Canis lupus familiaris: one gene and its partners. The protein of the gene in region 1 purifies or fractionates together with the protein of each later gene. This does not show direct contact. Links are inferred from orthologs where the notes say so. Each region holds a gene or a part of one and is shown in the gene's direction. Other genes may lie near its edges.

Region 1 (3,500 bases):
GCTCCACCAAGGAGAGGTGGGCAGGCAGGGATGGGCTCCTAGAGATCAGAGAGGCTGGAAGATCTAGAGGAGAGCTTTGAAAATCTAGCCCATCAGAGCTCATCGAGGCTGATCTCATTATGTTACCCTGCCTTGCACATCAGCAAGATTGGATCAAGGAAATCGAGCAGAGACAGGTTTGGGATCCAAGGAGGAACTTTCTTACCCAGGAGACAAAGCCTGGAATGGGACCCTGGAGGCAGTCTGGAAGCCCAGGGTGAGACAGATTCTCCCCGTTTTCTGAGAATGCTTTTAGTTTCCTGGAAATTGGAAGGGTTTTCCCTGAGCTGTCACCAAATACATTGTACACAAAGCCACACACCATGTGTAATTTCATGCTCCCAAACTAATAAGGTGCCAGCAGAAAAAGAATATTTCTTCATCACGTAGATGTCACTTTGCCCCTAAAATTTGTCACTTCCCCAGGCCCCAGCCATTCAAACAAAAGTGCTGGGCTGTTTTCTCATTTTTCTCCAGTGATGCTGCTTTTCTGGAAATTATGCTGTCACGTTTGAGCCCTTAAAAAATAAATCAGACATAATGGAAACTGGGCTGCTTTGTCTTCCCTACTCCTCTGAAGTTACAGGATGGGGCCAGGCGCTCTGGTCCCCTTCCAGTTTAGGAATTCTGTAATCCCAATTCAGCTGGAGTAGGATGAAGGGAAGCGTAACCTCAGGTGGAGACTGGCTGAGCCGGAAGTGGGTGTTGGAGCTTCCAGTTAGCACAGTCCTATCCCTGCTCTCCAGCCTTAGAAGAGGAGAGATGCCATAGTCTCCTGCAAGCTGCAAGGCAGTATGGGAGGCAGACTGGTGACCCCAGTGGCTTGTGGCCAGTGCAGGATAACAGCATGCAGCTAGGCAAAGGACAGAAAAGGCTTCCCATGTGGTCTCCACCAGCCTCTGCCCGTGGGCGCTTGTCCCCATACACTGGAGTTCCTGCTGTCCCCTGGGGCCACTGCTGGGGTTAGCTGGGGATAGTTTATATATCCTGCAGATCTCTTGGCCCAGTCTGCCTTCTCCTTGGATCTTTAGAAGTGGGTGGCCCTGGAAAACTGGCAAAGGCTGGGATCAGGGCAATGGGATTTTAGCTGACCTCAGCCTGGCTCTCTCTATATATACATGGGGCTCAGGGGCTTCTACCCAATGCTGCTTCCTCCTCCCTCCCTAGTCTACCTCACGGGTCTTCAGAAGTCTCAGTCCAGGGGCCAGGAAGCCTGAGGTTGAGGCCTTCACCTCAGCTCACCCAGGCCAGCCACTTCCTCACTCAGGCCCCACTGCATTCTAGAGAGCCACCCCCAGGGCAGCGTCTGCATGGCTCCTGACAAGCGGAGCCCCACTCAGGCTGAGCTCACTGTTTTCTGTTCCAGCTGCCGGAAACGCTTTCTGCCAGGCAGCCCAGCTGCACCTGCAGCTCCAGAGCAAACATGACGCGGCCACCTGCTTTGTGGATGCCGGCAATGCCTTCAAGAAAGCTGACCCCCAAGGTGAGCCTCCAAGGGTCACTGGGGCCCTGGCTGCCCCCAGCACAGACATGACTGAACCCTCTTCAGGGAAGGCTTCGGGTTTCCGCGAGGCTCCGGTTTTCTCCAGGGGCCCAAAGCATACCAGAGGCTGGCAGGGAGACGCTTGTGCTTGAACTTCAGAATTGGCTCCCTTCCGGTTGGCATTTGCATCCCCGCTCCAAGCCTCTGCCGCCTCCCCCCCCCCAACCCCTACTTTGTGTGCGCAGCTGATGGCTTCCCTCCTGGAGCCTGGGAGCATTTGGGAGTGGGAGTTACATTGCAGACCCACCGCATGCCAAGGAGAGACGAAAATCTGTTCTGTTGTCAGAATTAACATGCAGAAGGGGGTGGGAGGGGGTTCTGAGACCAGCCAGGTAGGAGTTGCTGCCGAAAAAGGAGCGGAAATTATCCTAACCTGGCTTCCCTACACCCTGGGGGGGGGGGGGGGGTGGTGGAGAATCAGAACAGAGCCCTGGATAGAGTTGCCAGAGAACAAGTTACTTAAAATGAGGAAGTGTTGGGGATAGAAGCCCAGTTTGGGACTGACTCATGGTGAGAAAACCATTTGTCCCACTGGGCTCGTCCTGAAGCAGAGGCACAGCCCAGTGGGTACCAGAATTTTGGATTTCAGGGAGCTGGGATTTTCTTTTTTTTTTTTTTTTTTTTTAAATCTCTGTGCCAGACACAGGTTGCTGACTTTCTTAATTTTAGCAAGCCAAGACATTTTTTTTAGGAGACAATCTATTGTTACTATTCTCTTGTGAGAGAATAGGGAATAGGTGAATGTTTTAAGAAAAAAAGAAAAAAGGAGATGCCTCATCTTGAAATAAAGGGGCTGCCCTTCCCAAGAGGACAGTTTACACCCAGGTCCAGAGGTGTTTGTAAGGCTTGGTGAACCCTAGTTCCCGCCCCAGTGCTGGGGAATTGTTGGCAGATCTGTTACTACTACCAGGGACACGTAGTTCCCAGTCAGGGATTTGATCTCTGCAGACCAGATAGCTTTTCTGTGTCCACAGACTTGACCAGTCACTGCCCTGGAGCTGAGTATCTCACAGAGGTTGGCCTGAGGGTCACATGGCGGGCCCAGGCTCACCAAGAGCCAGAGGGGAGGCCCTGTGACCAGGTGGGTCATGTGATGATGAGGACTCAGGGCAGCCTCAAGTTACCCAGGGATGTCTGTCCCCCCTCCCCCTGCCAACCAGCTTTCCCTTTGGTCCCTGGGGAACTGGCGCTTCCTGGAGATGCCACCGTAGCATCTGTGATGTTCAGCTGCTGCTCCAGAGTGACTGGAAGGACTCGTTTCTGGGGCGGGAGTTGAGCGTCAGGCTTCATGACACGTGCATGGCGCCCTTTGCTCTTTAAACAAAAACCCCAGCACTTCCCTTGGATGGACCTCCACCCGACGCCGCCGTGATGTTGTGCCTGTGATGTTGCGTCTATAGGTCCTTCAGTGGCTTTTGATCTGAGCTTTTTCAGCTGGAGGCAAGGCTCTGCAGGGGGTGTGTTGGATGCTGGGGCCTTGGGAAGGGCCGCAGCCCCATGCCTGGCCTCAGGAAGTGCAGAGCATGGCAGAGGTGTCCCATGCCAGTGAAAGCAGCAGCAGTTATGTCTGCTGATATGGCCATGGCCATTGTGGGGCCCAGAGGCCAGCTTGGTTTCTCCAGGGATCAGCAAGCACGGTTTATTGCCCTGGGAGCTGAGGCACAGGGAGGGTGTGTTTGGGATGGGAATTACCTTTCAGGGAGCAAGAGAAGCAGTGATGAGGAGGGGAGCCTAATTTGGGCCCAGCCCAGAGTGAGTACCTTAGCTGGAGTGCCAGGTTCTGGCAGGGAGGGGCACGGGAGCAGTGTCCCAGCACTGCCGCCTCACAGCCTCCCCACCCTAGTAATGGTTTGTGGGGCATGGGGCTACGCGTGATCTCCTAAGTCTAGATGGAGCCCGTTCCCCTGTAACCTCAGGC
Region 2 (4,270 bases), on another chromosome or scaffold:
ACAAGCGCACTGCTATGGGACGAGCGCCTCATCAAACGCCAAAGAGAATTATTTTTATCTGATCCAATGTAGGGCTCGAGTCTGAACGGTACATAAACTGGATACTTGATTCCAAAACAGTTGTTTTTATGCCTTTGTCTCCAATTTATCAGGGGAACAGTGCTTGTCCGGCGTTCAGCGAGTGGTGGGAGGAGACCCGAGAGTTTTAGAGCTGGAGCAGAGGGCTTGAGGGTTGATGGAATCAATGGCTTCCTGCATCGAAGAAGAAGAAATCTGGCCCGGAGAGGAGGCTACGTGCTTGCACCAAGCTCACAAGTAACAGCTGAACCTACACTACGAACCAAGTCGCTGAAATCCTTTTACGAAGTTTCAAACAGCCTCCAACAACCGAGGCTCGATTCGCCAGGTAGGAGGAGCCCGACACGGTCTACACGTTGGCCTGGGCTCGCGCCAAAACACCCAACTTAAGGGTCTATTTGGGCCGAAGGTTAAGAGGCGAGCCAGTGAAAGCAAAGACAGAGTGAAAGGAGGGGAGGGGACGGGCCTCGAGGAACACAGGAGGATGAACACGAAAGAAAATATTTGGGGGAAAAGAAAGAAAAACAAAACAAAACAAAACACGATGAGGAAGTGCCTCCGGAGCGAGGGACAGGAAAGGCAGGATGCAGGGCGCCGGAAGACCCGTGGAAGGGTGTGTCGGGCTGGGCAGCCGTGGATCGGCGGGAGGATCTCGGCTGCAGGGTCATAAGGGGCTTCGCGCAACAGATGCCACGGCTCGAGCCTCAATTTCCCGCCCGCGCCGCAGAACAGAGCGCTTCCAGGTTCTCGCTCGGGGACGAGCATCCCGCCCAGCGTGGTTGGTTTCAACATTCTGGAGCTTCTGGGCTCACTCGGGGGGGGGGGGGGCGGGGCGAATCACCGCCCGAATCATGATTCCATCCCTTGCCTGGACTCCCACCTCTCAGCCTGGTCCTCGGTACCCGCTCCTCGGCCATCGCATTTCCGGGGCGGCCTGGGCTCACCCGGAACGGGTCTTCTCCTCCGCCGACAACCCCGTCACGGGAAAGTCAGGCCCGCGCAAGCAGTAAAGCAGATCTCGGTTGTCCGGGGCTGCAGCGCGGAGCCCGCCGCGCCGCCAGCGCGTCTCCCCAGCCGGCGCTCCGGCCGCTGCTCTCCCGCTCCCGCCCAGTGCGCGGTCCCCGCGACAGCCACTTCCGGGAGGTTCGCCGCATCAGACTTCCCTCGGGAAGCAAGTTCCTGCGACTTAGAGCTCTATTTTCAGGAGATAGAAGGGCCAAAAAAAAAAAAAAAAGCTTCCAGTGACCCCCCCCCCCCAAGAATCCTCAGGTTTCCGAAAGCTTCTTGTTGGGGGAGGGGGGGCAGTAATAGAAGCGCTATTCTTTCGCGAATTTTTAAATCTTGAAGCCCGAGCGGACAAAAAACAACGCACCCAAGGCAAATTCCGGGGCGGGTGGGGGGGACTGTGATTGCGACGAACAACCAGGAAGCGGCCGGGTTGGGAGCTGTCCCCGGTTCTCCCCGCTCTGCTCCCGAGGCCGCCTCCCGGGGTCCTGACACCGCGTTCCTCTGTCCCGCGTGGCCCCTGCCACGACCTGGGCTCCGGCCCGGGGCCGTCACTCCGGAGCCGCCATGTCATCCGACTTCGAAGGCTACGAGCAGGACTTCGCGGTGCTCACGGCAGAGATCACCGGCAAGATTGCGAGGGTCCCCCGACTCCCACCTGGTGAGAGCCCTGACCCGGCGGGCGGGGGTGGCCCCGGGGGCGCCGAGGCTCGGGGGCGGGGCGGGGGAGCGTCTCTAAGGCGCCAGGTGGTGCCGGGGCCCTCGCGGAGCGACGCAGCTGCACTCGGCGCAGGGTTAAGGGACCGTCCGGGCTGGCTCGTGGAGCGCCGGGACGCCCCGTCCCTTGCACTACCTTGGGCACGTTTCTCGGAGTCCTCGGTTTTCGTGTTGTTTTTTTGTCTCGTTTGTGAAAGGGAGATGCGAGTTTTCAAACGGAGCGAGTGGATGCATCAAGATCATGGGTCCAAAAAAAAAAAAAAAATTGAGAAAACAACAACAACAACAACAACAACAACATGGGTCTGCGATACACAGTCCTGTTGTTTTGTTAGCAATGATAGTATCCCAGGTGGCAGAACAGGCCGGTTAAGAGCCACGGTGCCAGGGTTCGGATCCCAGCTCTGTCACTTAAAAGTCGGGGCACTTAGGAAAGTTTCTTAATTAAAAAAAAAAAAAAAAAAAAAAAAAAAAAAAAAAAACAAAGGAAAGTTTGTTAAACCTCTCTCAGCTTTCTCCTTCTTGGTCAGTAGGGGAGAGCTAGCCGTACGTCTCTCTCGTGGAGTTGTGGAGATTAAATGATTTAACATACGAAAAGCCCTGTTTTGGTGCAAGCTGCTATTAGTATCTTTCACACACCCCTCCACCCCACTTCTTATTTCTCATCCTTCTTGGGAGACCGTAACCCAATTTTCTGTAACACCTGGTACAGTTTTTCTCGCTTTAGAAATTCCACGTATCCTACCTATAAGTGTTCTTGATTTTGTTTTTGTGGGTTTTTAAATTTTTTTGATATTTTATTTATTTATTTATTTATTATTTATTTATTTATTTATTTATTTATTAATTAGAGCTATGGGCACAGGGGCAAAGGACAGAGGGAGAAGGAGAAGACTCACCCCCCGAGCAGGGAGCCGCCTGCCAAAGGGCTCCATCCCAGGACCTGGGATCATGACCTGAGTTGAAGGCAGACACTTAACCAGCTGAGCCACCCAGGCTCCCCTTGTTTTTGTGTTTTAGCATGACTTACTTTCCATGCTCAACTGTCAACTTGGCATTTACCTAGAAAGGGCTCAGAAAAAATGTTAAAGTAAATGAACCGATGAATATGATATTTGGTAATTTTTTTTTGTTATGTGAGACACTGGTTTAGGATTTATCTTTCCCTAAATACAGATTTAACTTGAGTGGTTAGCTACAGATAGGATTACTACTTTTAGCTTAGTTTTGTTAAGGAAATTGAACCATCGTCTGGATTTGGGCCTACCTGGCTCTGGGGTGTAGTGCGTAGAAAAGGGGATGCTCACTGATCTGTGAACTGGTGGGCAGCTTCCTGTTTCCCACCTCCTTAGTCAATCCTTGATGTCAGCAGTAATCTCTGCAGGACCTAAGTTGACATTCCTATTTCCCTTTCCCTACTTCCCCCAAACGTGCGTGTTTATAAATAATTTTCTTCCTTTATTTGTTTTTCTTTCCCCTTCCCTCACCTATTTTCTATTAATAGGGACATTTGCTTGAAACCAGGATCTCTGAACTTACACCCCACTCATCTCCTGAAGTCCCAGTTAGTTCTGGAGAGGTGGATGATGTCTTAAAGAGGTTTATGAGCCCAAGTGAGGGAACAGGAGGAGAAAACCAAGGTAGCATATATCACCGAGCTCTGCTGCCTCAGAGATTTTTGTGGAGAAAATAGCTGATGGCCTCATCACTTCATGATACATCACCTCGCCTCTTCTCTTCAGTTCTGCCTTTCTCCACTGCCCAAGACCATCTTGATTTTTATTATCCTTGTTGCTGGAGACTACTTCCTTTGACTTGAGTCCCAGAGTTTCAGGACTTGTGATTTTAGTTGGATTTTTGTTCATTTTTAATTGTAACAGTTTTAAAAGAGAAGCATTTTCTATTTGGGCTAATAGATTTTTGTACTGGGAAGATGTTTTATATAAAGTAACAAAGTCATCCATGGGTGCAAAGTTGTAAAACCTGTTTCTAAGAAAACAGATTTTGTTACAATTGATTTTTTTTTCTTGTCTTTATGTTTTAATGTAACTATTCTTACTATATAGAAGGAAACCTTTAAGTGCCTTAAAAATAAAGGCTTGACTTGGCCTTGCATATGGTATAATGTAAAGCCCAAACATAGGAGCTCCAGTGGAATTGAAAGAAGACTGTTTAGCTGGCAATGGAAAAATGCTTACTGATTTGACTAATTGAATGACAGTAATTCTTTAAAAATGTAGTAGTTTCCCTGTTAATAGTTACTTATGCTTGCTCCCTTTATAATCTGTTTCTAATTGATAAATAGAAAAGGATGAATGAAAAGTATATCCATGTCGTTATGCATTTCAGATATAGGTCTGTGGACTAACAATATGTACCACTATTTAAAAAGTATAATTAAAAGTAATTATAATCTCTTTCTGAATAGCATTAGTGGTTGATCTAGAGGAGATAAACTATAATTTACTTG
Region 3 (3,500 bases), about 84 Mb from region 1:
AGTAAGCCTTCTTTTCAGAAATTTAGCTAAATTACAATTTCTAAAGATTTTAAAGGAATAATAAAGGTAGAAGATTTGGAAAATAGATAGAAGTAGGTTGTAATTCTTCCTTATCAGTCAAATACAGGTATCTATATCTAAAAATACTCCTATACAGTATCTCATTATTTTAAAGGATTCCAAGTATAACTAAATAAGTGTTTAAAAGGAGAGATAATATACTGAAAAGTACTGATGTTGTAATTTGTAAAGCATAACATTAGATTAAGCTTTTTTTTTAGAGTCAAGTTCTTGAGTTAAAAATCTGACTTTTTACTTTATAAGCTAGCTAAAAAAGATAGATACAGATACTGATAGGATTTACTTCTTATTGTGTTCTTTCTGTTTACAGAGAAATGCTATTCTTTCCAAAGCAAACTTAAAAATAGTAAATATAAAAACAATAGTAAATGTATATTGATTACCTCTCCCCCCACCTTTTTTTTTAAAAATCTATAAGGATATAAATGTCCAGATAGAGAAAGAAGAGAGGCTAGATGTACTCCTGAGAACAAGACAAAGTCTGGCGACAAATCCTCTTCATTTATTAAAATGATCTCCCAACAGTGGGATGCAGACAAAAGGCTCTCACCACCCAACACCTCCATATCTAAAACATCAGACATCCCATAGTCTGGCTTTGATTTGAGTCATCTTCCCTTCTAAATGGCTGCTGAGATTTATTTCTCAAAGCTTGGTTGCCCTGTGTGAGTAAAGAACTTTCCATGTAATATTTGACCAGTATTTATCAAAAAATAGAATCTGGATTTTTTTTTTTTTTAAACTTGCTCCACACCCAATGTGGGGCTTGAACTCACAACCCTCAGATTTAGAGTCATGTGCTCTACTGACTCAGCCAGATAGGTGCCCTGAAATTTTTGTTTTCATAGATAAAATTTAGAGCCACTCTATAAAATAGTGATTTTTATCAAACTATTTATAAGGATTGATTCAACTGGCAGAGTTGTAACTTAAAGAAATCTCTTTGTTCTTTGGTTCTATAATGTGTGTTTTTTTTACTTTAGGCAACAGAAGCAGCAGTATACTAATCAACTTGCCAAAGAAACAGATAAGTACATTAAAGAGTTTGGATCTCTGCCCACCACCCCCAGTGAACAGGTATCAAGCCTTAAGACATGTTGTTGATGTATTGAATGTGAAAGAAATTACATGCATTATAGGGTCTTTGAACTTTTATGCTAGAAAGGAAATGAAGGGGGAAAATTGTATTTGAGATTAGTTCACAGAACACAAAACTATATTTAATTGCCCTGGTAGTATCCTGTGGTTCAATAAAGCAAAAATTATTTCCATGCAGTTGCCCTGACCCATAATTAAGCAAGTGCTCAGAAAATGCCCCCTGAGTAATTGTTTCCTGGCCTTCCAGGACTGACTCCATGTGACACGCACACATTCATGATGTGAGGTTTCCTAGGGGCGCATGTTTATTTCCTTGCTTATCATTTAGTGGAAGTTATAGTTAGGTAAGAGTACAAGGTTTTATTTTCCTAAAAAGAAAACAAAAGAACTACTACTTCAAAATAACCTCAAAATCATGACCCAGTTTTTAAGATGAAAATTTTGGGTGAGAAATCCAACATTATGGACCTTTTGCCTCAAGATAGTACATATACATAGTACTTTAATATATTGTCAAAATGTTGCTTAGATGTAAACAGTAGGAAATTGGAGAGTGAGTGGAAACTTCAGAATAAAGAGCCAACTCGTGGCGAAACAACCTTGGTGAATTCTATAGAACCTTATACCTTGATTCTAGTAGGTTTCTCCGTTTCCTCTAGCGTCAAAGGAAAATACAGAAGGATCGCTTAGTAGCTGAATTCACAACGTCACTGACAAACTTCCAAAAGGTCCAGAGGCAAGCCGCTGAAAAAGAGAAAGAGTTTGTTGCTCGAGTGAGAGCCAGCTCTAGAGTATCTGTGAGTATTGAACAGGGCGTAATAAAGTGCATGTGCTGTTCCCTTGAAGGCCTGCATCAGCGTTTTCTTAAGTCGTAAGGATCTGTGACTGACTGTCTTGGAAGTCAATATTTGAATATTTATTTTCAGGTTTTTCTGCTCAGTTTTAAGAAGGATGACAGTTATATATTGCTGTAGTTATTTTGTCCATGTCAGGGAGCCAAAGATTACAGATTACTATATAAAAATATGGGAACATTTTGTCAGAAAAGACTAGGGCTCAGATCCTGAATGATATTCCCACTTTGGTTTGTACTAGGGGCTGTCAACCTTGCATCTGGGCCAATGTAGGAAATGCTTTACTCCTGGGTTATATGAAGATGATGGAAAGGAACAGAGTAAATCAATTGCATGAATACTGAAAATGAATATAAGCCTGAAGAAAATAAACAAAGGGATAACTTTTAGTGGAATTTTGAGTTTATCTCATTTTAAATTTCCTCAAAAACCATTGCCAGTTGTTTCCTTATTCCTTAATGTAGAGTTTCCTGGACTATATTACATTTTAATCATATAATATTGATTATTTGGCCCTTGAGAATATTTAATGAATTCCTTCCTTGTCAGCTTAGGGAAATAATTTTATTGTTATTTGAAGCACTTGACCTAAAAAGTTAGAACAAAAACATTTCTCTTTCTGTACATAGACATACACATGTGTACATAAACCCATTTAGATTATCATAAGAGAAAATGTGAGTGTTATGATGGTGTTTTTTCTTTGCCACTTCTCAATGCATTCTATTACTGAATTATCCAGGGTGGTTTTCCTGAAGACAGCTCAAAGGAAAGGAATCTCGTTTCCTGGGAAAGGTAAGAAATATAAACCATACAGATGAGAAGATGATTTTTCAAATGTGTTTTCTACCTTATGGTTCCTGGAACAGAATGAAAGCTTTCAGTTTATTATGTCATGACTATCCTAAGTTATAAATACAAAGCAATAAATTTGAAAAATTTTTTCAAAGTAATCATTTATAAAGCATATATATATAAAATATTCCAATTCGGCAGTAATTTGTAAATGTTTATACAAGTAAATTTTATTGACTTAATTATTATTTGATGGAGATTTTTTTTATTTCCTCATGTGACATTTAGGTCAACCAAGAAGAAATACCCGGTTGCCAAATGTAGAGTCCAATAATTAATAACTCTAAAAAAATAATACCAATGAAATGAAACATGAATAAAATTTGATTAATATTTCTGTTATAATCTTAAAACTTAAGAATACAAATGAGAAATTGAAGCAGTTCTCTGACGTTGAAGAAAAGACACACTATTTTGTGCTTCTTAAATAAGAAAAGAAATCCCATTACTTCCATTATTTTAATACCATTCTTTTTTTTTTCCGATGTTTTGTTCTGTTAGCCAAGCTCAACCTCAGGTACAGGTGCAGGAGGAAGAAATTACAGAAGATGACCTCCGCCTTATTCATGAGAGAGAATCTTCCATTAGGCAACTTGAAGTAAGTTTGCCGTG
Region 4 (4,247 bases), on another chromosome or scaffold:
ACCCCATAATTAATCTCATCACAGGTTGGTTGGGGAGGAAAGCTGATGTTTACTGCTCACCCACTCTACGGAAGGCCCTTTATGCTTGAATTCGTTTACTCCTCAAGAACCACTGCATTTCACCCATAAGGAAACAGGCTCTCAGAGTTGAAATAACTTGCCCAAGTTATATTATGGGAGGACCAAGAGAGAAAGTGCGGGGAACAAACAGGTCTGACTCTAAAATCTGGGTTCTTTCCACCAGTGGAGGCACACCTTTGAGTTTCCTTTCACCTTTCTCCCGAGGCAAAGAAAGTCCCCCCGGCATCAATTCGCCTTCCTCCTCTGAAGCAATCCTGAATTCAATCCTCTGCCCGCTGACACTTCATTCCTCCTCGCTGCCACCATCCCTCTTCAAAACACCATCTCCTACCAGTCTAATGCCCCCTCTAGACTCACAGAAAGACAACGCGCCGATCTGCATTTCAGAAGCTCTTTCAGATGTACTGTTTCATCCTCCCTTCACAGCAGCGTGAGGCGGGCAAAGCAGGTAAGCACCCCCCTCCTCGCCCCCCACCCCCCTTTACGAGAACAGCATCTCTCCAAGGTCACGGAATAAGCAGCAGAGGAAGTCGGGAGCTGAGCCCCTAGGGTTCGACTCTGGTCCTTTGCTCTTCCCACAGCTTCTCCCTGCCTGCCGCCCCCGCCCCTGCGATGTCACAAGGTGCCTCCTTGGCTCAAACCCCGGCCTGTGGCTCAGGTCCCTCTCGCGCCACCGACCCGCCAAGTCCCCGTCTGCCCTGCGCACTCCTTGCCCAAACCACCCCGTTACCCACCTCTCTCTTCACCGGCGATCTCCACCCACGGGCCTCCTCACCACCCCCCGTCCTGTCACAGGCAGCTGGCGAGCCCTGTTCAGCCTCCCACAGACCCTCGCCCCGCCGATCACCCGCTTTGCCGCCCCGAACCCCCTTCTCCTGTCAGCCCGAGGCCCGGGCGGCCAAGGCTACCTTCTCCAAAGACGCCGGTCTCTGCACGGCCAGGGAGCGGGCCAACGACAGGACCGTGTTGAAGTAGAAGCCCCTCGAGGAGCTGGAGCCGGAGCTGGAGCCGCCGCCGCCGCCGGAGCTGCCGCCGCCCCCTCCCCGGGCCGCGGCAGCCGCCATCATCGCGCGCGCGGCGGCGCTGCCCGCGGGCTCCTCGCACCCGGCCTGCGAGCGCCACAGCCCACGGCGCAGGCGCGGCGGCATCCGCCTTCCCCGCCACGTGACCTCTGTTGTCGACACCGAGTGGGGCGTGGCCGCGGGGCGGTCCCACCGCGGGAGGGGAGAGAGAAGCCGAGCGGTCGGCCGCGGCCGCGCGCACGGGGCGTGGCCCCCCCCAAGCCGCCGGGCAAGATGGTCAGCTCCGGAGGCGGGGCTTCCCGCGCACGCCAGGCGGAAGGAGCTCGCTCCGCGACCTGGGCGGGTGGGGCGGGGGCGCGCGGCGCTGGACGGCGAGCGGCGGAACCGCGGGGCTGCCGCGCTGTGGGCGCTCCCCGAGGGTCCCGGGAGGACCGCCTGGACCCCTGCGGGCCCAGAAAGGCCGTTCCCCGCCTTGGCCGCACACCTCCTCCTCCTGCCCAGACCGAGACGAGCGCCGGCACCATGTCGGCCTACCCCAAGAGCTACAACCCGTTCGACGACGATGCGGAGGATGAGGGCGCCCGGCCGGCCCGGTGGAAGGACGACCGCGACGTCGCCGACGGGCCCTGCACGCCCGCGGACAGGCAGCAGTATCTGCGGCAGGAGGTGATGCGCGTGGCCCAGGCCACAGCCGCCAGCACCGAGAGGTCCCTGTCCCTCATGTACGAGTCCGAGAAGGTCGGCGTCGCGTCTTCCGAGGTGAGTCTGCAGCAGAACAGGGCGGCCCGGCCGCTCTGAATTGTCACACGCGCTCAAGGAACTTTAGTCGTACCAAGAGGTGGGTATCTTGAATACTCCAAAGAGGCAGTTTGCCCCCAGTAATCTTTCTTAGTTACAGCAGAGCTCGGGCTAGAGAGATTGAGCGTCAGGTTCTTTCATATAATTGCCTGCGCAGGATTCCAGATCCAGGGGTTTCACCATTACTCCTCGAGTGACCCAGAGTGGGTGCTGCTGTGGAAGGCGTCGGAGCAGATGAGCCTTAGGTCCTCCCCTAGCGCTGACCACTGCTCCGCCTCACCCGCAGAGGTGATGAGGTCTGTGGGCAGCTGCTCAGTAAGCCGTAGCGCAAGTGTGATCGAGGCTAGGGCCTTACATTTACTTAACCAAATCCAAAGGGAGATGTCCCAGACAGTGTGTGATCTGTGACTATCCGTTTCTCCACTTCACCTTTGTCAGTTCGTCTTTCCACCCGTGGGAGATTTCAGGGACCCTGAGTGAGAATGGTTCTTTCTTAGGCACCACATTTTTTCCTCAGCCTACTAATGAAATGGTTTGGTATGGGCATTTTTATTTAAGTTCTTAAAAATGTAATAGTAGGTTATCGATTAGCTCAGCTAACGTTAATCTACAGCATTTGTAGCTTTGAAACTTAGTGGAAGCTGAAGTGTTGTTTTCTTCCATGGGTCTCTTTGTAACTCTTTTCTCTGGCAGAGTTCTTTCTGACCTGATCACTTCCAGTCTTGGGCAGTTTGAATATGTGGATTAATTTCTCAAATAGTCACCTGGGTCATTTCCCCCCTTGCCACTTTCTTGGCTATTTTCCTTCTGCACCTCTCCTGTTACAGTATCCCTCATTGGCCCATTTTCCTGTCTTTGGCTTCCTTAAGGAAGTTTAGCTGTAGTTCTTAGAGCTCATATCTACTGGATTCCTGAATGGCAAGTGTTGATTAAGGTTTGGGAGGATTACCTAAGATCTTAGGGGAAGTAAGTAGTAGAGGAGTTACTGGAGTACTGGAGGGGTCCCAGGTCCAAGGAAGCCAAGTAAGAACTGTTTGAAGGGAAAAAAAAAAAGAACTGTTTGAAGGGACATCTCTGGAAACAGAACAGGGACGCCTCTGAGTGGCTCAGTGGTTGAGCGTCTGCCTTCGGCTCAGGGCGTGATCCTGGTATTGAGTCCCACATCGGGCTCCCCACAGGGAGCCTGCTTCTCCCTCTGCCTGTGTCTCTGCCTCTTTCTCTTTCTCTTTCCCTGTTTCTCTCATGAATAAATAAATAAAATCATAGAAAAAGAAACAGCAAATGAAATGGGAAATCAGAATGATAAAAGTAGGGTGTCATGGCCTAGGATAAACTCAAATCTGGCTTTTAAGGCTAAGATTTAGACAGGAGTGAGGAGAAGGGAAAGGAAGAAAGGTAAGAAGGTTGTTCATAGGGCAGAGAGGAGCAGTGCAAAGACACTGGCCCACCACCAGAGTTCCTGGGCTCCAGTGGGGAAGTGATGCACAGGATATGTTCAAAGAAGGGACGCAGGAGGCAGCTTAGGAGCCTTTCGTGGTCAGGGGAAGTCTGTCCCTCAGAGGGAAGAAGAGTCAAAAAAAATAATAAAAGTGAGTGGTTTCACATGGATTGTGGTGACAACTCCCCTCCCCCTACGTTGCACCCAGAGGCCCTTTCTGTTCAAGGGGCACGATGAGAACACCGGTGCAGAACAGCAGCTCAGGCCTGGGAGGCTTGGACTGGGCCAAGTTGGTGTTGCTCTGAGAAGTACGGTATGATCAAGACTAGGCAGGTGACAGGCACTGTCATAAGTATGGTGACACTGAATTTTTCTGGGATTGAGTCAGTTCCCAATCATCAGAGGCCCCAGGAGGCTGGGATGGTCAGCACCCCCTCCCCACCCCACTCTGTACTCTCCAGACTACCTTTGTTTTTTGTTTGTTTGTTTTTGTTTTTAAGATTTTATTTATTTATTCATGAGAGACAGAGAGAGAGAGAGAGAGAGAGAGAGGGACAGAGACACAGGCAGAGGGTAAAGCAGGCTCCATGCAGGGAGCCTGATGCGGGACTCTATCCCGGGTCCCCAGGATCAGGTCCTGGGCTGAAGGTGGCTCTAAACCGTTGAGCCACCCAGCTGCCCCTCCAGAGTACCTTTGAATCAGTCTTTGATTCCAGTCAGAATGGGGGTGGGAACTGGGCTGGGGTTGCTGAGCTCTTCCTGCCACTCAGTGTACAGTGTGGCTCCCATCAGACCCAAGTCACCTGCTAACCTCCCAGCTTAGAGACCTGGCACTGAGCTGTGTGAAAACATGATAGGTACTTATAGAAGGTTAGGCATGTACAAATATTAGATTGGGAAGATATCAT
Region 5 (4,262 bases), on another chromosome or scaffold:
ACACATTAAGAACTTAGTACAAAGTGCCTGGCACATAGGAAGTGCTCCAAAAAATGTCAGTAATGTCATAGCAGCTAATGCACATTGAGTTCTTAAACACATGCCACATGACTACACTGTGCTTGGTGCTTTTCATGTACTACCTCATTTAATCCTCCACCTCTGTGACTCTACCAGTTAGCCTCAGAATTCTGAGGGGCAGAGCTGTGAAGTGGGTCCTCCAGCAGGATTCAAGCAGGGTTGACTCTAAGGCCTGCAATACATTGCCTATTAGGTGCAGTGGGGTGATGAACGCCTTAACGGATGGTGTGTGGAGCAGTGGAGAAACACAGATAGGCAAGCACATAGCCCCCTGTGTACGACACTATACCCAAGGGGCCATATTTGGTTTTTGAGGGAAGACGTGGCTTTTAGTGAAGGCTCTGCCACTTTCAAGTTATGTAACTTTGGGGCAGGGACGTTCAGTTTTGATTTATTTCGCTTTGATCTACTCTTGGTCCATCTACTGATCTGTAAAACTGGGGTATTACCTATTTCAAGTCTGGTTGAAGGATTAAGAGAAAAACACAGCTAGGCATTCAGGTCTTAACAATTTATGCTTGCTGATGTGAACAGAAGCACATGGGGTGGGAGCAAGAGGGGGAAAGCATTCTAAGAAAAGGGAACAGCACATTCCAAAGCTACAGATCCAAAAACAGCTTGAGGAATCCAGGAGAGCGATGGAGTGAGGTGGCTGATGGCCTTGGACTATTTGATAATAAAGGCAGGAGCCACTGTTCGTTGAGGGTCTGCTCTTAATTATTTCCATCAAAACTACTCCAGCAAGGTAGGCTTTAATAAATCCAACTGTACACAAAAGGCACGTGCCAGGAGCTACAAAAGAGGTGGAGGTGGGGAAGTGACTTGATCAGTTGTGATTTTAGAACCCTTGGACCATGTGCTGGAAGAGGCCTGTCTTGAATTCCACACGTGAAAAGCAGTAATAACATTTACCATCTTTTCATTTGCTCCACAATTATATTCACTGTACAACATATGAAAAATATAAGGAAATTTAAAGAGATATAAAAAATTGTTAATTCCACCTTCCAGAGACATCCCAATTGATACTTTCCTTTTTTTTTTTCTCTCTCTCTCTCTTCTGCAAAAAACATGTAGTCATTAGAATGCCTTTTAGGTAAAAGATGGGGAGAGGCCAATGTTAAAACGCTCTCGATACTCCCTCTCTTCTTCTTCTTTTCTTTTCTTTTTTTTTAATTTATTTTTATTGGAGTTCAATTTGCCAACATCTAGCGTACCACCCAGTGCTCATCCCATCCAGTGCCCCCCAGCAGTGTTGCCCAGTCCCCCCCCGCCCACCTCCCTTCCACCACCACACCAGAGGCGAGTCCTCCGGCCTCCTCGCCTCGACCCTCGCTCGCCTCAGGTTGGTCCCTAGAGGGCGCTGCCGAAAGCCCCGACGCGGAACGAAGGTGACGCAAAAACGAGTTTAATTTGGGCCCCGCCGCGGCCCGTAGCCGGCGTCCTCAACATGGCGGCTCCCCAAGATGTCCACGTCCGTATCTGTAACCAAGAGATCGTCAAGTTCGACCTGGAGGTGAAGGCGCTTATCCAGGTACTAATTCCCGGGACGGCTGCCGGGCCCTGTAGCCCTGAACCCAGGCTCCACCGGCCTCCTGTGAGCTCGGCGGTCTCAAGTCTGGGAGGTCGCTGGTCCCGCCCCACGGCCCGCTACCCCCTGGCGGCCCCCTCTGGTCCCGTCTCCTGGGCCGTTGGCGTTGATCCTCCCTCCGCGCGCTGTTGTCTTGCCCTCCTCTGAACGCTCCCGCGTCCCCTCGTCCCTGGCCAGGCTTCCGGTCTGTGGCCACATGGGTCGCCCCCGCACACTTGTCGACTGGGACGACCTGTCGCCCCGACGGGCCCCGCCTTCTCACGCCTCCCTCCGCCGCGCTCGGTGGCGCCCCGAGGGCCGCGAGCCCCGCCCTCCCCTGGCCGCCGCCCCGGCGGAGGTGCCCCAGGGCACCAAGGGCCCCGTCGTGCGGGAGGCCCCCGGCCACCTAGATAGTAGCTGCGACTTTGTAAATGAGGAAAAAGGCTAAAATGCCAAGGCCTGAATCAGAAGGCAGGTGGTGGCAAGACTGCGACCGGACAGGGAAAGTCGGCCTAGACGAGGGACTTAGGGGGTCTCTGAAACTCGGTTTAACAGATGGGGTACCGGACACTCCTTGCCTTGAGCCACTTAAGGGTAGAAGGCAGCAGAGCAATAACTGCTTGGCCTAGGCAAGAGGAAAGTAGAAATGGTTCCTTGAATTTAGCAAAAAGAAACCAAGAGTTTTAAACTCTTTATTAGTAGTTTTATTTTTTTTAAGGTTTTATTTATTTATTCATGACAGAGAGAGAGAGAGGCAGAGACACAGGCAGAGGGAGAAGCAGGCTCCATGCAGGGAGCCCGACGCGGGACTCGAGCCTGGGTCTCCCTGGGCCCAAGGCAGGCGCTAAATCGCTGAGCCACCCAGGGATCCCCTAAACTTTGGCTTTAGGCAAGTTATTTCCTCCGTTTCCAAAAATGTTGCTAAGCATTAGATGTAGACTCAGATTTTGCAACTAGCTGTGGCAAAAAGCGAAGGAAAGTAGGACTCTCCATGGAGACCAGATGCAGAATAAACCAAAGTAGTGCTTTATCGTGGTACAAGGAAGTGTGATTTAATGAGTAAGCCAGAAAACAGATGAGAAAACTTGATGCAAACTGTTAAACTTCTTCAACTACACTTATTCATACATATTGCAAAACTTCTGGGCTGACTTTAAGAAAATAAATTTAGGATTCATATAAAAAGATTGCCTTTTCACATAATCTAAATTGCTTAAGCCCTTCTGTACTCTCTGATATTGGGGTTCTCATGATATACCTAGATATACTGTGCTCTTACTGTGTTCCAGCTCCTTTGCAACATACTTTGCATACGTACCTGGTCTATGTGGTAGGTAATGTGATGAGAAAAGTGAGGCACAGAGAACCAGAGTGACTTTTTGTTATCCAGCCAATAAATTGCTGCAGCTGGAGTTTGCATCTACATATTTTGGCTCTAGAGCCTGCTCTAAAATCTGACCCCAGTAATTTTGAATGTCCAGAAACAAATTCTTTTTATTTTTTTATTTTTTTATTTTTTATTGGTGTTCAATTTACTAACATACAGAATAACCCCCAGTGCCCGTCACCCATTCACTCCCACCCCCCGCCCTCCTCCCCTTCCAACACCCCTAGTTCGTTTCCCAGAGTTAGCAGTCTTTACGTTCTGTCTCCCTTTCTGATATTTCCCACACATTTCTTCCCCCTTCCCTTATATTCCCTTTCACTATTATTTATATTCCCCAAATGAATGAGAACATATAATGTTTGTCCTTCTCCGACTGGCTTACTTCACTCAGCATGATACCCTCCAGTTCCATCCACGTTGAAGCAAATGGTGGGTATTTGTCATTTCTAATAGCTGAGTAATATTCCATTGTATACATAAACCACATCTTGTTTATCCATTCATCTTTCGTTGGACACCGAGGCTCCTTCCACAGTTTGGCTATCGTGGCCATTGCTGCTATAAACATCGGGGTGCAGGTGTCCCGGCGCAGAAACAAATTCTAAATCTACCCTTGAACAGGTCTGTAAACACTGTGATTTGTAATAGATGATCGAAGTTAACCTTGCCATATGATGCCAGGAATTGAGCATCCTGATTTTCAAGTTGTATCACTTTTGGATGTCCATTCTTGTTGGACATATGATCTGCTTTAAGCCTTTTATACTGACTAGGTGGCATTTTGTTAAACTTTAGGAACTAATAGGACAGTTGTGTTTCTTTTTATGCTATTATAGTACCTGCTCAAAATTAAAGAGGTTATGAGAGAAATGTAAACGATAATGTTTTTGCTCGTGTTGCAGAGGTAAACAGCAAAGATCAGGATGAATTACAGACAGTAGGCCAGCCTAGTGGTGGTTCAAGCCAACTCCCCCTGTACAGGTGGTTTCATTTCATGTCATTTGCCTCAAGAAAGGCCCCTTCACCTCTTCACTGTCTCCTAGGATATTCGAGATTGTTCAGGACCATTAAGTGCACTTACTGAACTAAATACTAAAGTGAAAGAGAAGTTTCAGCAGTTGCGGCACAGAATACAGGTGAGTAGCTGTAGAACTGAGATGGGGAGAATGGGTGACAATGAGGAGGCTCTATCCTGGGAGTAACCTCTGCTTGAGAGCTAGCTGT
Region 6 (4,056 bases), on another chromosome or scaffold:
GTCTTTCTTTTGCTTGAACCTTCATGTAAGTTCTCTGGAAAGAGTCCTGGGATCCAGGAGACCTGATTTTTATTCTGGCTATGCTGAGACTCACTTTGTGGCCTTGGAGACTGCTCTCACATAATGTAAGTTTCACAAGTGAAAGGTTTTTGTCAGTTAGGCCTTGATTTATCTCCGACCCCTACAACAGTCTCTGGCCATAATAAGTGCCCAATAAATGGATATCCATTGAATGAATGACCATCTAGTGGGCTAGGGCAGTGTCACCGTGAGAGGCTGAAGCCCAAAAGACAAGCTTTATCTTCAGATACATGAAAGGTTAAAGTTCTGTCCACAGATATTTATTGAGGGCCCATATGTGATAGGTACTGAAATAGGCCCTGGGGATTCAGGTAAGAACAAGACTGCGGCGCCCTGACCTCAAGAGCCCACGGTCCACTATAATGGGGAATGTGTGCAGATTTTTTTGCGGGCTTCAGAGGGTAGACCCAGATGCTAGGGAGGGAGGGAGTTAGATGTTAAGTGGCAGACTCCTCAATGTAATACAGACACTTTTCTCAGCTTTAGTTGCCCTGAAATGGTCTTATGCTCGGAAGGTGGTGAGTGCGGCGGAACTGCAGTGTTCATGCAGGGCGCCAGCCGCCCACCTGTCAGAGGCTGCGCCAGGAGGATGCGGGAGGAGAGATTTCTGCCTTGGGTGAGGTCACTTTCCACCCCCAGATTCTCTGCCTACAAAACCCTGCAATTCTCTGACGCTGGATCTTATTATTTTCTGAATCTCAAGGTCCCATGATGCTGACAGCCCCGAATTCTAAGTTCTCCGTCTGCCCACGTCCCTGGACCCAAAAGAAAATGAAGCCGAATTCAGCGAGGGTCCTACCACCCACTGCCTCAAACGGTCTCTGGGGGTAGTCAGCAGCCCCCGCCCCGCCTCGCGAAGGCTGGAGGGGCGTAGCTTGGGCGCCAGGGTCCCGGAGACGTCGTGGGGAGAAAGGTGCTCCAGAGACGGAGTTGACAGCGCCGGGGCACGTGACAATCAAAGTGTCACGTTCCGAGGTCCGCGAGGGTGGGACCGGGCTGGTCATGTGACGTGGGGGGGGCACCATGGGGTGATGTGAGATGCAGGGCCTCTGAGATTACGTATCAATGACGCACTCCCACCCGGTCTGGCAACTAGATTTCCGTTGGTAGATGCGACAGTTCCGGCGAAGGGGGCGGGTTCTCACGTCCTGGCAGCTTTGCTTCCGTTCGGGGCGCCGCAGCTTCCGACCTCAGGCTCCCTCCGGCGAGGAAGAGACGCGACCCCGTGCGCATGCCCCGATCATCCCAGAGGGGCGGGGCCGAGGCTACGGGGACGGGAGGGGGGGAAGAAAAGGGAATTCCAACCTGTGGAATCTTGGGGGGTCCCCGGGGTCGGCTGCTTCCCACTGACTGTGGATGGTGCCCGGGACGGAGCCTCTGGTGGCTCGTGGGGGGGCCCGGGGGTCCGCAGGGTGAGGGCGGAGGGAAGTGTCAGTGTCAGAGTGTGAGTGGGGTACGGGAGTTCCAAACTTAGTCTCGAGGCCCTCGGGGCTCCGGCGCCGGGAAGAGGGAGCTCGGGCCGCCATGCGCGACCGGACCCACGAACTGAGACAGGTGAGAGGGGGCTGCAGGGCTGGGGGTGGGCGGACGGGCTGGGGTCTGGCTGGCATACAGGACTCCCGGTCTTCGGGACAGGGAGGGGTGGCTGAGGGCTAGGAAGGAAAGACCCGGAAGTCTGTGAGTCCTGCGGGGAGAGAGCAACCGCAGGGAAGTGATGCCAGTGACCACCCCGGCCGTGGCAGGGGGATGACAGTTCGGACGATGAGGACAAGGAGCGGGTCGCGCTGGTGGTACACCCGGGCACGGCACGGCTGGGGAGCCCGGACGAGGAGTTCTTCCAAAAGGTAAGAGGCTGGGGTCTCCGCCTGTCTTCATGAGGGGGCTGGATGATCCGAGGAGCAGCGCGGTCCGGAGTATCCCCCATCTCCCTCAGCCCTCTCGGTCACCTTCCCCAGGTCCGGACAATTCGACAGACTATTGTCAAGCTGGAGAATAAAGTCCGGGAGTTGGAGAAGCAGCAGGTCACCATCCTGGCCACGCCCCTTCCCGAGGAGAGTGAGTGAAACCCCAAGTGCAAACGCATGCTCAGCCAGAGGGATTGTGGGGATTGTAGTTCCGTGCAGGTGGTGGCCAGGCAGGTTGGTTTGAGGTAGGAGCCGCTGTCTGGGAGTCATGGCTTTCTCTTCTTCAGGTATGAAGCAGGACCTGCAGAACCTGCGTGAGGAGATCAAACAGCTGGGGAGGGAGATCCGAGCACAGCTGAAGGGTGAGCCCCTAGGACCTCAGACAGACCCTTCCCTGTGGTCCTGCCCAGCTCCTGGTATATCTGGGGACTGTGTGGCTCAGTATTGCAAAGAAAAATACACTTGAGCTACCGTCAGAGGCTCATAATTAGTCATTTATGATAAAATATAATTCCCAAAATAATTCTGTGGAGATAAGCACCTCTCTATTGTATGGATGGGGTATGGCCCTGGCCCTGTGTCCTGGTTCCCACATGATTTTCTGAAGCCACACAGATCAAATCTCCTTCCCCACCAATCCCCTTGTGTCTTCCCACAGCCATAGAGCCCCAGAATGAAGAAGCTGATGAGAATTATAACTCAGTCAACACGAGGATGAGAAAAACCCAGGTGGGTTTATTATTCCCAGAACTAAGACATTTTGCAGGGTTTCATAGACCATTAGGTGGCAAAAGTAAGGGGAAAGGGCCCTTAGAGATCATCAAGTCCAACCTAATGATTTTCAAGTGGGGAAACTGAGGCTGAGAGAAAAAAAATCTCACCCAAAGTCTCCTGACTCCCAATCCACCTAACATCCTGTCGCCTTCTCCATTCATGAGAAGTTGCTGAATCCCCAGATGTGATCTGGGCTTGGTTGTGGAAGGCATGCTTTCTAGAAACCAACATGGTGAGTCAAGCTTGACTAGATGACAAAGACATTACTCAGGTAGGGTGTGGTAGCTAATAACCCCGCCCAGGGAAGAAGAGGGAAAGGTCATAAATGACAGGGAGCTTTCCTGCCCATATGACAGGGTCATCCTCTGCCCCATGGGCAGAATTCAAGAAATCAAGAAGAGGAACTTCCCTGGAGGGAGAAGGTCACTGAATCAACATCTTAGTGAGGAGATTTGAGGCGATCTAACTGCCCTTGTCTGGGTGCCCAGGGAGGAGTAATTTGGAGTTCCTGGAGGTCAGAGTTGGTGTAGGTGGGCCCAGAAAGTACCCTGGATTGAAGATAGGGCAGTTTGGGTATCTTACAATGATGTGGTGAAGGCAGGAGAGCAAATATGTCTCTAAGGAAGGAACTCCAAGGAATGAGCACATTGAAGGAAGCAAGAGAATGGACAAGATAAGAGGATGTTTCAGGGGGAAACTGTGGTAGTCATTGGTGTGAGAGGCTGAGGGTCCAGCCGGACCTGTAAGAGCTGGGCAATGGGCTGACCTCCAGGCATACCTTTAGTCTAAGCTGCAAGGCTGGTGTTCAGCAAGCATTCAAAGGTATTTATTGAGTGCCTACTGTGTGCTAGGCCCTTTTCTAGCTGTTTAGGATGCAGCAGTGAACCAAAGAGCCCAATCTTCATGGAACTTATGTTCTGGTGGGGCGAGACACACACCATAATAAATATGCCCACTATTTTAGAACGTAGGGTTTTTTTTAATTTATTTATTCATAAGAGACAGAGAGAGAAAGGCAGAAACACAGGCAGAGGGAGAAGCAGGCTCCATGCAGGGAGCCCAACATGGGACTCGATCCCAGGTCCCCAGGATCACACCCTGGGCCAAAGGCGGCGCCAAACCACTGAGCCACCCGGGCTGCCCAGACGGTAGTTAAGTATTAAGGGAAAAACTGAGGAGAAGAGGATTGAGAGTGACGGGAGAAGGCAGGTTGCAGTTTTAATAAGGTAGAGAAAACTTCATTCAGAAGGTGACATTGGAATAAAGATTTAAAGGCCTCTGTGAATAAATAAATAAA
Region 7 (3,500 bases), on another chromosome or scaffold:
TTTGAAATTTTCTTCGTTTTGCTTGTTTTTTTTTTATTACTGCTATTTTAAGGAAGGAAAGACTTTAATGGGAATAGATTGCTCTTTTAACTTTTTTTAATACATGCATTAGACTGATTTTTGAAATGAGTCTGCCACTTTAGTGCCTGATATGCCATAAATGTCCATTTTTTTTAATGTTTACATATTCTGAAAATTTATTTCCTTGCAAGTTTTCAACTCTTTCCCTTATTTTACCCCCCTGAAGATTATAAAATAAGTTATCACTATTACTGTTGTTTACTCCTCTCTCCGATCCGTGTTATCTCCATCCTATTCAGTAAGGTTACCATTCTGAGCCCAGATTTGATTTCAACTACTTCACACCCATTTTCTAGTTGAGACAGATTGCCAGAGCCCTGTGTCATCTTACAGATCCTGTTGGAGCCAAGGGAATGTTGCTTCTTTATACTGTAGCGAAAGGAAGCCATTGTTTTATGTGTCTGTCTGTGGCATGTTTCTGGATAACAGCAGCAATAATGCCATCTGCTTTCTAGGCGGAGGAGAGGCAAAGAGAGGAGCAGCTCGTCTCATTTGATGGGTAAGGAATTTTCCGTACAACCTGCTGGCTAGTTGAGATGGGATTCTATACTTTCTACTTACTTCTAATTTTCAAAATCATGTGGAAAAGAATGAAAAATAAAGGGAGACCTGGGGTGGGTGACTTATAATCCACCAAATAAAATAAAAGTCAAAACCTTGGGCTTTTCCAAGATATTTGAATATGGAAGGAACAATTTCAAGGTGAGTAAAAAAGCCAGGGAAATCCCCGATGTCTTTGTGTTGGGGTGAGAGCTTGCCTCACTAGGAATAAGTACAAATACACAAATCTACAGATGAAGATTTTACCTCTAATTCAGAAGTAAGTTTTTCAAAGTTCTTGGATCTCTGTTTACCATATCCATCCAAAATGGAGGCAACTCGTTCTTTTAGGAGTAGTACAAGACGAAGCAAACAGTTTGCATCTGAAAGACATCTTCTTTCTTAATTTCTCCAAACTGAATTAACTAATTCCATAGAAATGTATTGGTGATATTAATTCAGAATGTAAATTGCTTTATCAAAGATACGTATCTCTCTCCCCACTACACTGTGAGCACCTCAAAGGGGTGCCTGCAGGGTGCTGTCTTACTCCGTTTTTGTTTTTTGTTTTTGTTTTTAAAGATTTTATTTATTCATTCATAAGAGAGACAGAGAGAGAGAGGCAGAGACATAGGCAGAGGGAGAAGCAGGCTCCCTGTGGGGAACCCAATGTGGGACTCGATCCCAGACTCCAGGATCATTTGACCTGAGCCAAAGGCAGAGGCTCAACCACTGAGCCGCCAAGGCACCCTCTTAACTCCGTTTTGTATCTCCAGCGCATGGAGGAAATACTGTGGAGATGATGTCTGCTTTATGAACATTGTTGGGAAAATGCTTAATACTGAATTTTCAAAGTGTTGTCTAGCATCATAGCATTTCTTCTAAATATGGTACCTGAAAGAAGAGTTATAACATTTCAGTAGCTTTTCATTTTAGTTTTCTCTTAAGAGGCATTTAACCGAAAGCATACACCCTCAAGGAATGTTCTGAAAACCAGAAGGTGTAAATCTGTTAGACTAATTGGAGATGCATTGACAGGTCGCTTAGCCTGCTCTCCTCCACCCATTTAGTACCCAAGAGACCATCTCAGCTTGCACTTTGAGAGTGCTCTAGAAGAGGATGGACCAGTATGTTTCATTGACTTCAAGTCTCTGTTTTCCTTGTCTAGCAAACCCTAGCAAGATTGCAGAGTGCACCCCTGACTGGAAAACAGCAAGGAGTCCCATCCCTCATAATCCTGCTGTATCTCAGTTTTGCTCAGGGAAGCTGAGACTTTGTTTTCTAGGTATTATCAACTCTTTGCCTCCAGTTATGAAAACTGTGACCCTCAAGTACTTTGTATTGTTACCAGAGGAAGTGGAGCCATGTAATGTCCTTGGATAAGTCCTGCTGGTAGTAGAAATGTTGTAAAGTGTCTCATGCACACTTTACAGAGGAAGAATCAACTAGTGTGCTTGTCTCCTTGCAGCCATGAGGAGTGGAACCAGATGCAGAGCCAGGAGGATGAGGTGGCCATCACTGAACAGGATCTGGAACTTATTAAAGAGAGAGAAACAGCCATTCGGCAGCTGGAGGTGAGAGCCAGGTTGTGTCTTTTGACTCCATGTATCTACACTCTAATCCACCTGGATTTTCTCTCATTTATTATGAAAAGCATGAAATGAATTCTTATTGATTTGCATATTATATCTTAATGTAATTATGGTGAATATGAACTACTCTTATGATGGTACTGGTCACGGTGCCTGAGAAGACTCAAATCCTTTCCTCAGTTACCATATCTTACATGGTTTCTGTGAGAATATGCATGAAGAACAGAGTAAGGCAAACAAATATTTTATTCCTCATTAAGACTTTGACCCCATGGCACCTGGGTAGCTCAGTTAGATAAGCATCTGTCTTTGGCTCAGGTCATGATCCCAGAGTCCTAGGATGGAGCCCCTCATTGAGCTCCCTGCTCAGCAGGGGGTCTGCTTCTCCCTTTCCCTCTGCCCCGCACCCTATTCATGCTCACTCTCCCCAGCTCTCTCTCTCTCTCTCAGATAAATAAATAAAATCTTTGTTTTTTAAGATTGTATTTATTTATTCATGAGAGACATAGAGAGAGGCAGAGGGAGAAGCAGGCTCCATGCAGGGAGCCTGATGTGGGACTCAACCCCGGCACTCCAGGATCATGCCCTGAGCTGAAGGCAGACTCACATAACCGTTGAGCCACCCAGGCATCTCAATAAGTAAAATCTTAAAAAAAAAAAGACCTCCCCCCACCCAGACCTCAATGCCAACTTCAGGTGGGATTCTATGGAGAGAGCCCCTTTGCTTTGTCTGAATAGCTCAGAATAAAGGCAGGCCAAAAAGTTGGCTTAATTTTTGTGCATCCCAAAGTCGAATCCCAAGTTGTGGATATGACTTTAGAGCAGAGAAACAGGAACAGTTTTTGAGGTGAGGGTTGAGGGAAAGGTCTTGAGGATTTTCTAACCTGATTTTCCAACCTTTAACTTTATATAATGACTAGTATATTCTTAAACCTGAAGAATTTAATCCTCCATGCAGCTAGAATGTCATCCTTGAGGGCAGTGAGGAGAAGGGGCTTGCAAAGGGGAGAAACTTGGAGTTCCTCAATGACCTTCATCTGTGGTAGTGGCTCTGAACTCTGAAAATGCCTTAGAGTCACTTAGAGATTTATTTTCCAGATACTCAGCTGTTCTCCCTCATTCATCAACTGTTATTTTAGGCTCTGTGAAATTCCTATTTTTCTAGGCTAGAAATGGACGAATAGCCATAAGTTTTTTTTTCTTAAGATTTTATTTATTTATTCCTGAGAGAGACACACACACACAGAGAGGCAGAGACACAGGCAGAGGGAGAAGGAGGCTCCATGT

Evidence for each region.
Region 2: the proteins of NAPA (region 1) and VTI1A purify together in Homo sapiens (affinity purification with mass spectrometry; 3 studies listed by BioGRID and IntAct, with this or other methods). This does not show direct contact. The link is inferred for Canis lupus familiaris from reciprocal best matches to the Homo sapiens genes NAPA and VTI1A.
Region 3: the proteins of NAPA (region 1) and STX7 purify together in Homo sapiens (affinity purification with mass spectrometry; 4 studies listed by BioGRID and IntAct, counting the BioPlex papers as one, with this or other methods). This does not show direct contact. The link is inferred for Canis lupus familiaris from reciprocal best matches to the Homo sapiens genes NAPA and STX7.
Region 4: the proteins of NAPA (region 1) and SNAP29 purify together in Homo sapiens (affinity purification with mass spectrometry; 3 studies listed by BioGRID and IntAct, with this or other methods). This does not show direct contact. The link is inferred for Canis lupus familiaris from reciprocal best matches to the Homo sapiens genes NAPA and SNAP29.
Region 5: the proteins of NAPA (region 1) and BNIP1 purify together in Homo sapiens (affinity purification with mass spectrometry; 3 studies listed by BioGRID and IntAct, with this or other methods). This does not show direct contact. The link is inferred for Canis lupus familiaris from reciprocal best matches to the Homo sapiens genes NAPA and BNIP1.
Region 6: the proteins of NAPA (region 1) and STX4 purify together in Homo sapiens (affinity purification with mass spectrometry; 4 studies listed by BioGRID and IntAct, with this or other methods). This does not show direct contact. The link is inferred for Canis lupus familiaris from reciprocal best matches to the Homo sapiens genes NAPA and STX4.
Region 7: the proteins of NAPA (region 1) and STX12 purify together in Homo sapiens (affinity purification with mass spectrometry; 4 studies listed by BioGRID and IntAct, counting the BioPlex papers as one, with this or other methods). This does not show direct contact. The link is inferred for Canis lupus familiaris from reciprocal best matches to the Homo sapiens genes NAPA and STX12.

Annotation. Positions count from the first base shown.
Region 1 is NC_049222.1:109,227,202-109,230,701, forward strand, and holds part of NAPA (alpha-soluble NSF attachment protein), read left to right. Parts: intron 1-1,405; coding exon 1,406-1,522; intron 1,523-3,500. UniProt on the Homo sapiens protein: Required for vesicular transport between the endoplasmic reticulum and the Golgi apparatus. Together with GNA12 promotes CDH5 localization to plasma membrane.
Region 2 is NC_049249.1:23,792,230-23,796,499, forward strand, and holds the start of VTI1A (vesicle transport through interaction with t-SNAREs homolog 1A), read left to right. Parts: upstream 1-1,470; 5' UTR 1,471-1,650; coding exon 1,651-1,744; intron 1,745-4,270. UniProt on the Homo sapiens protein: V-SNARE that mediates vesicle transport pathways through interactions with t-SNAREs on the target membrane. These interactions are proposed to mediate aspects of the specificity of vesicle trafficking and to promote fusion of the lipid bilayers.
Region 3 is NC_049222.1:25,688,564-25,692,063, reverse strand, and holds part of STX7 (syntaxin-7), read left to right. Parts: intron 1-1,064; coding exon 1,065-1,158; intron 1,159-1,838; coding exon 1,839-1,976; intron 1,977-2,775; coding exon 2,776-2,828; intron 2,829-3,389; coding exon 3,390-3,486; intron 3,487-3,500. UniProt on the Homo sapiens protein: May be involved in protein trafficking from the plasma membrane to the early endosome (EE) as well as in homotypic fusion of endocytic organelles. Mediates the endocytic trafficking from early endosomes to late endosomes and lysosomes.
Region 4 is NC_049247.1:30,795,901-30,800,147, reverse strand, and holds the start of SNAP29 (synaptosomal-associated protein 29), read left to right. Parts: upstream 1-1,447; 5' UTR 1,448-1,625; coding exon 1,626-1,862; intron 1,863-4,247. UniProt on the Homo sapiens protein: SNAREs, soluble N-ethylmaleimide-sensitive factor-attachment protein receptors, are essential proteins for fusion of cellular membranes.
Region 5 is NC_049225.1:40,187,212-40,191,473, reverse strand, and holds the start of BNIP1 (vesicle transport protein SEC20), read left to right. Parts: upstream 1-1,462; 5' UTR 1,463-1,531; coding exon 1,532-1,615; intron 1,616-4,081; coding exon 4,082-4,174; intron 4,175-4,262. UniProt on the Homo sapiens protein: As part of a SNARE complex may be involved in endoplasmic reticulum membranes fusion and be required for the maintenance of endoplasmic reticulum organization. Also plays a role in apoptosis.
Region 6 is NC_049227.1:17,349,086-17,353,141, reverse strand, and holds the start of STX4 (syntaxin-4), read left to right. Parts: upstream 1-1,256; 5' UTR 1,257-1,605; coding exon 1,606-1,635; intron 1,636-1,823; coding exon 1,824-1,925; intron 1,926-2,036; coding exon 2,037-2,136; intron 2,137-2,272; coding exon 2,273-2,347; intron 2,348-2,643; coding exon 2,644-2,714; intron 2,715-4,056. UniProt on the Homo sapiens protein: Plasma membrane t-SNARE that mediates docking of transport vesicles. Necessary for the translocation of SLC2A4 from intracellular vesicles to the plasma membrane.
Region 7 is NC_049223.1:71,947,104-71,950,603, reverse strand, and holds part of STX12 (syntaxin-12), read left to right. Parts: intron 1-536; coding exon 537-580; intron 581-2,089; coding exon 2,090-2,195; intron 2,196-3,500. UniProt on the Homo sapiens protein: SNARE promoting fusion of transport vesicles with target membranes. Together with SNARE STX6, promotes movement of vesicles from endosomes to the cell membrane, and may therefore function in the endocytic recycling pathway.